Caenorhabditis elegans: one gene and its partner. The protein of the gene in region 1 interacts with the protein of each later gene in a pairwise test. Each region holds a gene or a part of one and is shown in the gene's direction. Other genes may lie near its edges.

Region 1 (3,799 bases):
TGTTGCCCTTTGTATTTTGAAAGTATACTATTTTTGAAGAGAGAGGTAGAAAAATCTAAAGATAACATTGAAAAGTATTTTGTTAAGCAAACAACTTTCAATGTTTGAATGCTTGTTTTGTCACTTGGAGCTTGTATTTTGTAAATGTTTTCTGTAGTTTTGATTGAAAGCTTTTCCCATCTTCACAGACGATGTATTGCACAGTCTTATTTTCGGTAAAACTCAAAAACCCGAGGCAGAAACTTCAGGAGTTAAAAAATTAGACTTAAATATGTATAGAAGAAACATAGAACCTTTCGATTTGCTCGAACTCGAACTTCAAATTCTTTTTTTTTAACCTAGAAAATGTTAGAAAATGTTCGATGTAAACTGAATATGCACTGCACTTGTAACTGCATTTGTTGTGTGTGTGAATCACTTGGAAGTTCATGTAAATAACAGTATATAACTTCAAGGGTTATAAAAGGCACACCTTACATCAAAAATAATTTTCTTTTTTCCTGCTGTTGTGATTTTGCAATAAAATGCCCACATTTTCCAAACAAAAATGTTCTCAAAGTCTTAAACCCTGTTCATCAGCCACCTCGTGAATATACTTAACAATTCAAGTGACTCCATGACTCCGCCTACATTCGTTCCCTCATCTAGCTCACCGTTTTAACATTCAGACTTTTCTCATTTCCCTCCGATCGTCTTAAAATCCTTCTTCCTTTTTCTCTCCATTTCCGTCATTTTCGTCTTCTTTTTCCTTTTTTTTTCACAATTTTCCTTCTTCTTCTTCTTCTTCTTCTTCTTCAACTCAATAGAGCCTTTCCCTGTGTCTCTTTTTCTCCTTTCTGCCATCTTCACTTCTTTCGCATATTTCTCTATTTCTCTCATCCCAACGACGCGCTCTTTTCGGTTAATTTGGAGCTTTCTCCGTCCACCGCAGTCGGGGTTGAGCTGGGAGCAACGAGAAGGCCGTGAAAACATTGTGCCAGAGACTGCGCTTCCTCTAAAATTTCGTAAAAACTTTTTCACGCCTTTTCTATCACATCATCTCACCTCGTCTTGCCTCTTGAAATTGAATATGTTTTGGTCGACTTTTTAAATTTATTTATTTGCTTTCTTTCATACACACCAAAATTGTTTGGAAATTTTAATTACATGCAAAAATTTGCACATATTTTTTTGTTCTGTTTGTTTCAATTCCTACTTTCAATTTGTAGGTTATCTAAACGATACAAAATTTTCAGAATTACAAATAAGTTCAAATAATATTTTTTTAAAAATACATTTTCTGTTTAAACACTACAATCGACTATTTATGTAGATTTTCTGAAGAAAATTTTCTATTGCAATTTCTGCGTTATAAGTGCCCGACTTACTAGTCATAGCTTTATCTAGGGAATTATTGAAATAATATGATATTTCTCTAAATTATCACCTAATCCCATCCTGCTCAAACCACAGAACCGTCGAATTACGAAAAGAAATATATAAGCAGTAATATATAATTGTATGAATACGAGTTACTTCTCTTATTCTCTTCCCTTTTTCATAAAATGTAAGTGCCACTTATAACACGACTTCCTTTATGAATTCAATGATCTCCACGTGTTCTTTTTTTCATAATGACCACTCTTCGGGAACACTCATTTTTTATGCTCTTTTTCCGGCAATCGTCACTTTTCGTCAATATTGACTTTTCCTTGTTCCTAAGATGACCGGTTCCTCTTTCTTGTGCCTCGGTCTGTCGTCATTTCCTCAAAACATCACTTTCTTCAGAGAGTAGAGCTCCAGTCATGGCCACTACCGCTACTCGTCATCAAGATTCTAAATTGAGCGAAAAGGCAGAGAGCATTCTGGCTGGCTTCAAGCTCAACTGGATGAACTTGCGTGATGCAGAAACTGGAAAAGTTCTCTGGCAGAGCACAGAAGACATGGCTGACCCAAAAAGGGAACACAAAGGTAATAAGAATTTCAAAAAAAGTCTCGGAATAAACCAATCATCACAAACACTATGCCTGGGGCGGTAAGTAATATCGTCACTGACAACACGAGGGAACGAACGCGAGAGCGTCTCCCCCCAATGCGCGCGCACATCCACTGCGCCATTCTGCCACAGCTAGCAAGCAACACTGAGCGTGTAGTTAAGCCTTCACATGTCTTTTACCGCTGGTCTCTAATGCAATGCGTTTTTCCTACAAAAATAGAATTGCTTGAAGCCAACAAATAAAAACTAATGGATTGCAGCACACGTGCCAAAGAATCTTCTAAAATGTCGTACGGTGTCTCGTGAGATCAACTTCACTTCATCAGTCAAAATCGAAAAATTTCGACTCGAGCAACGCGTTTATTTGAAGGGAACCATCATTGAAGGTAAGATAGAATCACTCGAATATTCATTATGTTATTGCACGCAATGGATGAATAATATTGGCTTCTGGTGATGAAAACTAATTATGTATTCCGACTTCAGAGTGGTATTTCGATTTTGGATTTGTCATTCCTGATTCAACAAACACGTGGCAAAATATGATTGAGGCAGCTCCAGAATCACAAATGTTCCCACCATCTGTACTCAGGTAAGTAAAACAAGTGCAAAAGTACTAGATTTCTAAGCTTCAAAGCTTCACTTCAAGATACTAGAAACAGAAACATGCAAACCTTAATAGTTATTAGGTAAACATGACCGAGTATCGTAATCAAACATTTTTTATATCAGTCAGCGTTTTGGTAAATTGGCAAAAATTCAAAAATTGGGTTTTTGAGTAATTTCAAACATTGCTGTAGGATTTTACCAATACAGTGTTTTTTATAAAAATTAAAACAGACTTTCAATATTTGTACTGGTGAAAACTGAGTAATTACCGATAGTTTTTTTTTTGAGTTTTGAAACGTTTTAGTATTCTTTATGGTATGTAATTTTCGTACCACAGGAGATGCTGCACACCATCTTATATATAACTACTTAATCCTACTATAAAAATAACATTAAATTGTGTTCGAGGCCTTGACATTTCGAACGATTGAAAATACAATCTCAATTTTTCAGCGGAAACGTCGTCGTCGAGACTTTATTCTATGATGGAGATCTTCTTGTAAGCACGTCTCGAGTCCGTCTTTATTACGACTAATACATATACATTCATATCCATTTTTCCCTTCTAATCCTTCCCTGTTTCTCCATGGATCTCTCTTTTTTAATTCCTAAAACAATACATACCTAATTTTAATATTCAATTTCAGAATGAAAATCTTCAACGGATTTATTTATTCATCTATGTACATATGAATATATTTTACAAATTGAATAGCTCAGGAAAATTGTCCCAAAAATACATTTAGATTGCAGTGTTCACAAATGAAGCATTGACACGTGATAGCTTCTGGCGACTCATGTCGTTCGACTGAAAAATAGGAAGAACTGAAAATAATTGAAAAATGAAAGGACATGCATCAATCTTACCACAATTGTGTTTGTCCCGTTACGACGGAAACGGAGAAGTTCGTGGCACCGGCGACGGAATTCGAGACGGAAAAAGTAAAAGATGGGAAGGTTGAAACAAGATTGGAAACCATAGAGAAGATAGGCAACACCTGGAAACATTAACTATTTGAAAAAAATAATTTAAAGTTAATTCTTAATTAATTCTTAAGTTAATTAAGAATTAACTAGCTTTTCTTTCTAGTTTATATGTTATTATCTCATTATTCAAAGTGATATTGAAATGTTATTTCAGACTTCAATTTTAGTGTTTGACAGTTCATTTTGGTCAAGGCTTTGACAAGAGTTGAACTAGTTAAATTGGTTGAA
Region 2 (4,070 bases), 1.5 Mb from region 1:
TGATCAGGAATTTGCTCTCGAGGAGTTTTCAAAACCGTAAAGCGATGTTTTCAATGTTGGAAATAGTGGTTCTAACTACAAAATTTATTTCAGTGAAATGAAATTAAATAAATATTTGACTATTATTTATTGGCTTCTCTTCTCATCCGGATTCGACGATTTTGGAACCAAATCTTCACCTGTAATGTGCTACGTCTCGGAAAATTATTGAATGATAACAACTGATTTAAAAATTTTTTATTTTTTTCCTAGATTGATCTAATCACATCTTTACAACATACAATCGGATATGTTAGACTTAACGTAGAAGTTGCTGGAGCTCAGCCTGGTGGATAAATTTCGCAAACAATTTTAATAGAGAATAGATTTCTAAAAACAATAGAAACCTGATATTCATCTAGACTCAAAATCCTTGCCAATCTTTCCCTTTCATCACATCCAACATACTGACTTTGTGCAAAATACATTTCGAGTAAATATAGTTGTTCCACTGTAAATGTGGTTCTTCTACGTGGAATTCTGGAGGTTGAAGCTTCTGGTCTAACCATCATCAGTAAGAATGTAAAGACCATTTCGTGTTTCATATTTATGCCGTCAATTGTCAGTACAAGGGGCCGCCCGTTTTCGTTTCGTTTCGTTTAAATTATAGGGAATACATTATAAAATCACACCTTTTGTGTATATCTTCGTAGTTTTATTGGACATTTTAATAGGCCTTGTTTATAAAAGAAAATATAATAATGATGACATTATACAAAAAAGTATTCAAGGAATGTTTTATAGTTACAAAACCTATAGGTATACAGAATATGTCAAAATAGGGGAAAAAACTGAATGTATGCAGTCGACGAATAAGGTTGTCTTGACATTTTTTTGGTTAATAATGTTTTTCCTGCCAGTTTCGATATCTTTGAAATTTTGATCCAGATGACATCAATCCTAGCTATGGAATAATGGGGGAACTCTCTTTAAATTCACAACTTCATTCGAGCAAAATTTGTCTTTTGCACACGAAAAATTATTATTATTATTGCACAATCAAATATTTTTCCCCCGTGCAAGTGTGCAATGGGGCGACGGGTCGAGCCAGAAACCCGTGTTGTTGAAAATCAAACCAAGTGCAAAATATCCATTTTGCTTAATTTAAAACGATCTAGGATAACTCCACTAGCAACTAGAATATCTAATTGAAGGATTGAAATTTGGAAACTTACAATAAGGTATTCTATTTTATTACGTTTTCAATCTTGCTAGGAAAACTTGGAAAAAAAATCCATAAACGTTTCCCGGTTATTTCAGAAATCGATAGTCGACCTCCGTTGTTCCTTATCTAAATTTCATCAATTGTATCCTTTTTGATAAGACAATACTATCTTTTTATCACTACGTCTCCTTCACTCTAAATCCTAATGTAGTATCAATCAATTTGATGAAAAGACTACACTGGGGCCCACTTATTTTCTTTTTCAATCAAAATTCACACTTTATTTTATATATTTCTTGTAAATTGTATTTTTCTTCATTTTTAATTCTACTTTTTTTCAACAATTAACTCTCGAATTCTTCAATTTTTTACAGAATGAAAGGAGTTGTAGAAGGACAATGTGGACAGCAGAATGCTCTTGTCGGGTTAGCTAACACATTTGGAACATCCAATCAAAGAGTCGCTCCGAGTAATGGTAAGCTGGAAATATTCAAGTAAAAATTAACAAAAAAAAAAGTTTTTAGCTGCAGCTTCTCTTCTCCCATCTTCTTCTATGGGAGAACAAATGGCTAATGAATTTTTAAGACAACAAGCGAGAACAATGGCTCCAACAAGTTTCAGCATGAAGTCGATGCAGAATAATTTACCACAGGCATCAGCATCCTCAAGTTTGGCAGCAAATTGGACAAAGGAGTTTCAACCGCGACAGGTATTTCTAATGCATTCATATATTGGTATTTTCAATTGATTGCTTCAGAACCAGTTAGCGAGTCAATGGAGTCAACAATACACATCTAGTGCTCCAAGCATGGAATCTGCATGGCGTCAAGTTCAAGCTCCATCAATGACATCCACGTCATCACATCAACCAATAACAGATGCTGGTATGTGGTCATCTGAATATCTGGATACTGTGGATACTTCTTTAACCAAATCTTCTGGGACTCAAAACTGGGCTGATGATTTTATGGAGCAACAAGATAATTATGGAATGGAAAACACTTGGAAAGATGCACAGGCTTTTGAACAGAGATGGGAGGAAATTAAGAGAGATATGGAAAAGGACGAATCTCTTCAAAGTCCTGAAAACTATGTTTATCAGGTAAGATTTTTGTCTTCTTTAACACATTTTTATAACCCTCCTATTCAGGAAGCAAACCCTTTCACAACCATGTCAGATCCACTGATGGAAGGAGACAATCTAATGAGAAATGGAGATATTGGAAATGCCATGCTTGCCTATGAAGCAGCAGTTCAAAAAGATCCTCAGGATGCACGTGCCTGGTGTAAATTAGGATTGGCTCATGCTGAAAATGAAAAAGATCAGTTAGCAATGCAAGCGTTCCAAAAATGTTTGCAGATTGACGCTGGAAACAAGGAGGTAAAATTTGAGAAAAATATTTGATTATTTGATGCCATAAAATAGATAGGTCGCGATAAAATTCATATCTGTCTCTTAAAACTTTTTAAGAACAGAAATTAAGAAAAAAAAAAAAAAACTTCCAATAAAATCAAAATTATTTCAGGCACTTCTTGGTTTGTCTGTCAGTCAAGCGAACGAAGGAATGGAAAATGAAGCTTTACATCAATTGGATAAATGGATGTCTTCTTACTTGGTATTTCTTATTTTTATTTCAAGAATAATCCCACACGAATAAATATTTTAAGGGTTCAAACTCGACTCAAGTGACAACCACACCTCCACTCTACTCTTCATTTCTGGACAGTGACACTTTTAATCGAGTTGAGGCTAGATTCTTGGATGCTGCTCGGCAACAAGGAGCAACTCCAGATCCAGATCTTCAAAATGCTCTCGGAGTTTTATACAACTTGAATCGCAATTTTGCAAGAGCTGTCGACTCTCTCAAGTTGGCGATCTCCAAAAATCCAACTGATGCTCGTCTCTGGAATCGTCTTGGTGCTACGTTAGCCAATGGTGACCACACAGCTGAAGCCATTTCAGCATATCGAGAAGCTTTGAAATTGTATCCAACATATGTCAGAGCAAGATACAATTTGGGAATATCTTGTATGCAATTATCATCTTATGATGAAGCTTTGAAACATTTTTTATCTGCATTAGAATTGCAAAAAGGAGGAAATGATGCATCTGGTATTTGGACAACTATGAGGTTAGTTTATAGCTTTATATGTTAAAATCACCTTCACAAATTTCAGATCAGCAGCAATCCGAACATCGAATGTCCCTGACAATTTACTGAGAGCAGTGGAAAGACGAGATTTGGCAGCTGTAAAAGCCTCTCTAGTCTAGAATAATTACAATTTAAATACTAAAATAAATAATTATTTTTCCTCGAATTTTTTTACTTGGTTTTCAAACTTTCATTTTGAAAATCTCAATTTCAAGCCGATCACGAGTTTGGAAGGGTCATAAAATGTTATTACAGCGGTAAGAAAGCAGGAAGTAAACCGACCTAGCACAAAAAGTGTTCAGCTCATTTTGTTTTGTTTGTAGAACTCACATTGTTAGAGCTCAATGAAATGATTGAATAATGCCTAAATTAAAATAACATTCTTCAAGACTTCTAGACACTAAGTAATCAAATCCTATCATTTCTCTTACGGTGAATTTCTACAAAATGCTCAGAAATTCCACATGAGTCACCGTTCCATGAGTAAAACCTCGGAACATATGACTGATTCTATTTATTATCATCTTTCCGCCACCCTCTTCCAAACGTCTCACTCTTTTCTATTTGCCGGTCATCGAACACATTCTTCCTTTTCTCTTTCTGTCTTTGAAGCACATGACATGGCCATTTATCATGAAAAGGTACAGCTGGTTGAAGAAGAAGAAGATCCGAGAGAAACAGCTCCAATTGAGAGGAGCACAGTCACAAGTTTT

Evidence for each region.
Region 2: the proteins of pdl-1 (region 1) and prx-5 interact in a two-hybrid assay, tested with the Caenorhabditis elegans proteins (one large-scale study listed by BioGRID).

The regions. Positions count from the first base shown.
Region 1 is NC_003280.10:7,182,041-7,185,839, forward strand, and holds pdl-1 (Phosphodiesterase delta-like protein), read left to right. Parts: upstream 1-1,760; 5' UTR 1,761-1,784; coding exon 1,785-1,950; intron 1,951-1,969; exon of another isoform or gene 1,970-2,038; intron 2,039-2,235; coding exon 2,236-2,361; intron 2,362-2,378; exon of another isoform or gene 2,379-2,452; intron 2,453-2,461; coding exon 2,462-2,567; intron 2,568-3,037; coding exon 3,038-3,119; 3' UTR 3,120-3,254; downstream 3,255-3,799. Other genes in the region: C27H5.6 (G_PROTEIN_RECEP_F1_2 domain-containing protein), read right to left, coding at 3,327-3,392, 3,452-3,582.
Region 2 is NC_003280.10:8,703,246-8,707,315, forward strand, and holds prx-5 (TPR_REGION domain-containing protein), read left to right. Parts: upstream 1-1,578; 5' UTR 1,579-1,579; coding exon 1,580-1,679; intron 1,680-1,728; coding exon 1,729-1,913; intron 1,914-1,961; coding exon 1,962-2,306; intron 2,307-2,354; coding exon 2,355-2,585; intron 2,586-2,730; coding exon 2,731-2,820; intron 2,821-2,872; coding exon 2,873-3,336; intron 3,337-3,382; coding exon 3,383-3,476; 3' UTR 3,477-3,515; downstream 3,516-4,070. Other genes in the region: Homeobox protein ceh-7, read right to left, coding at 123-179, 387-584.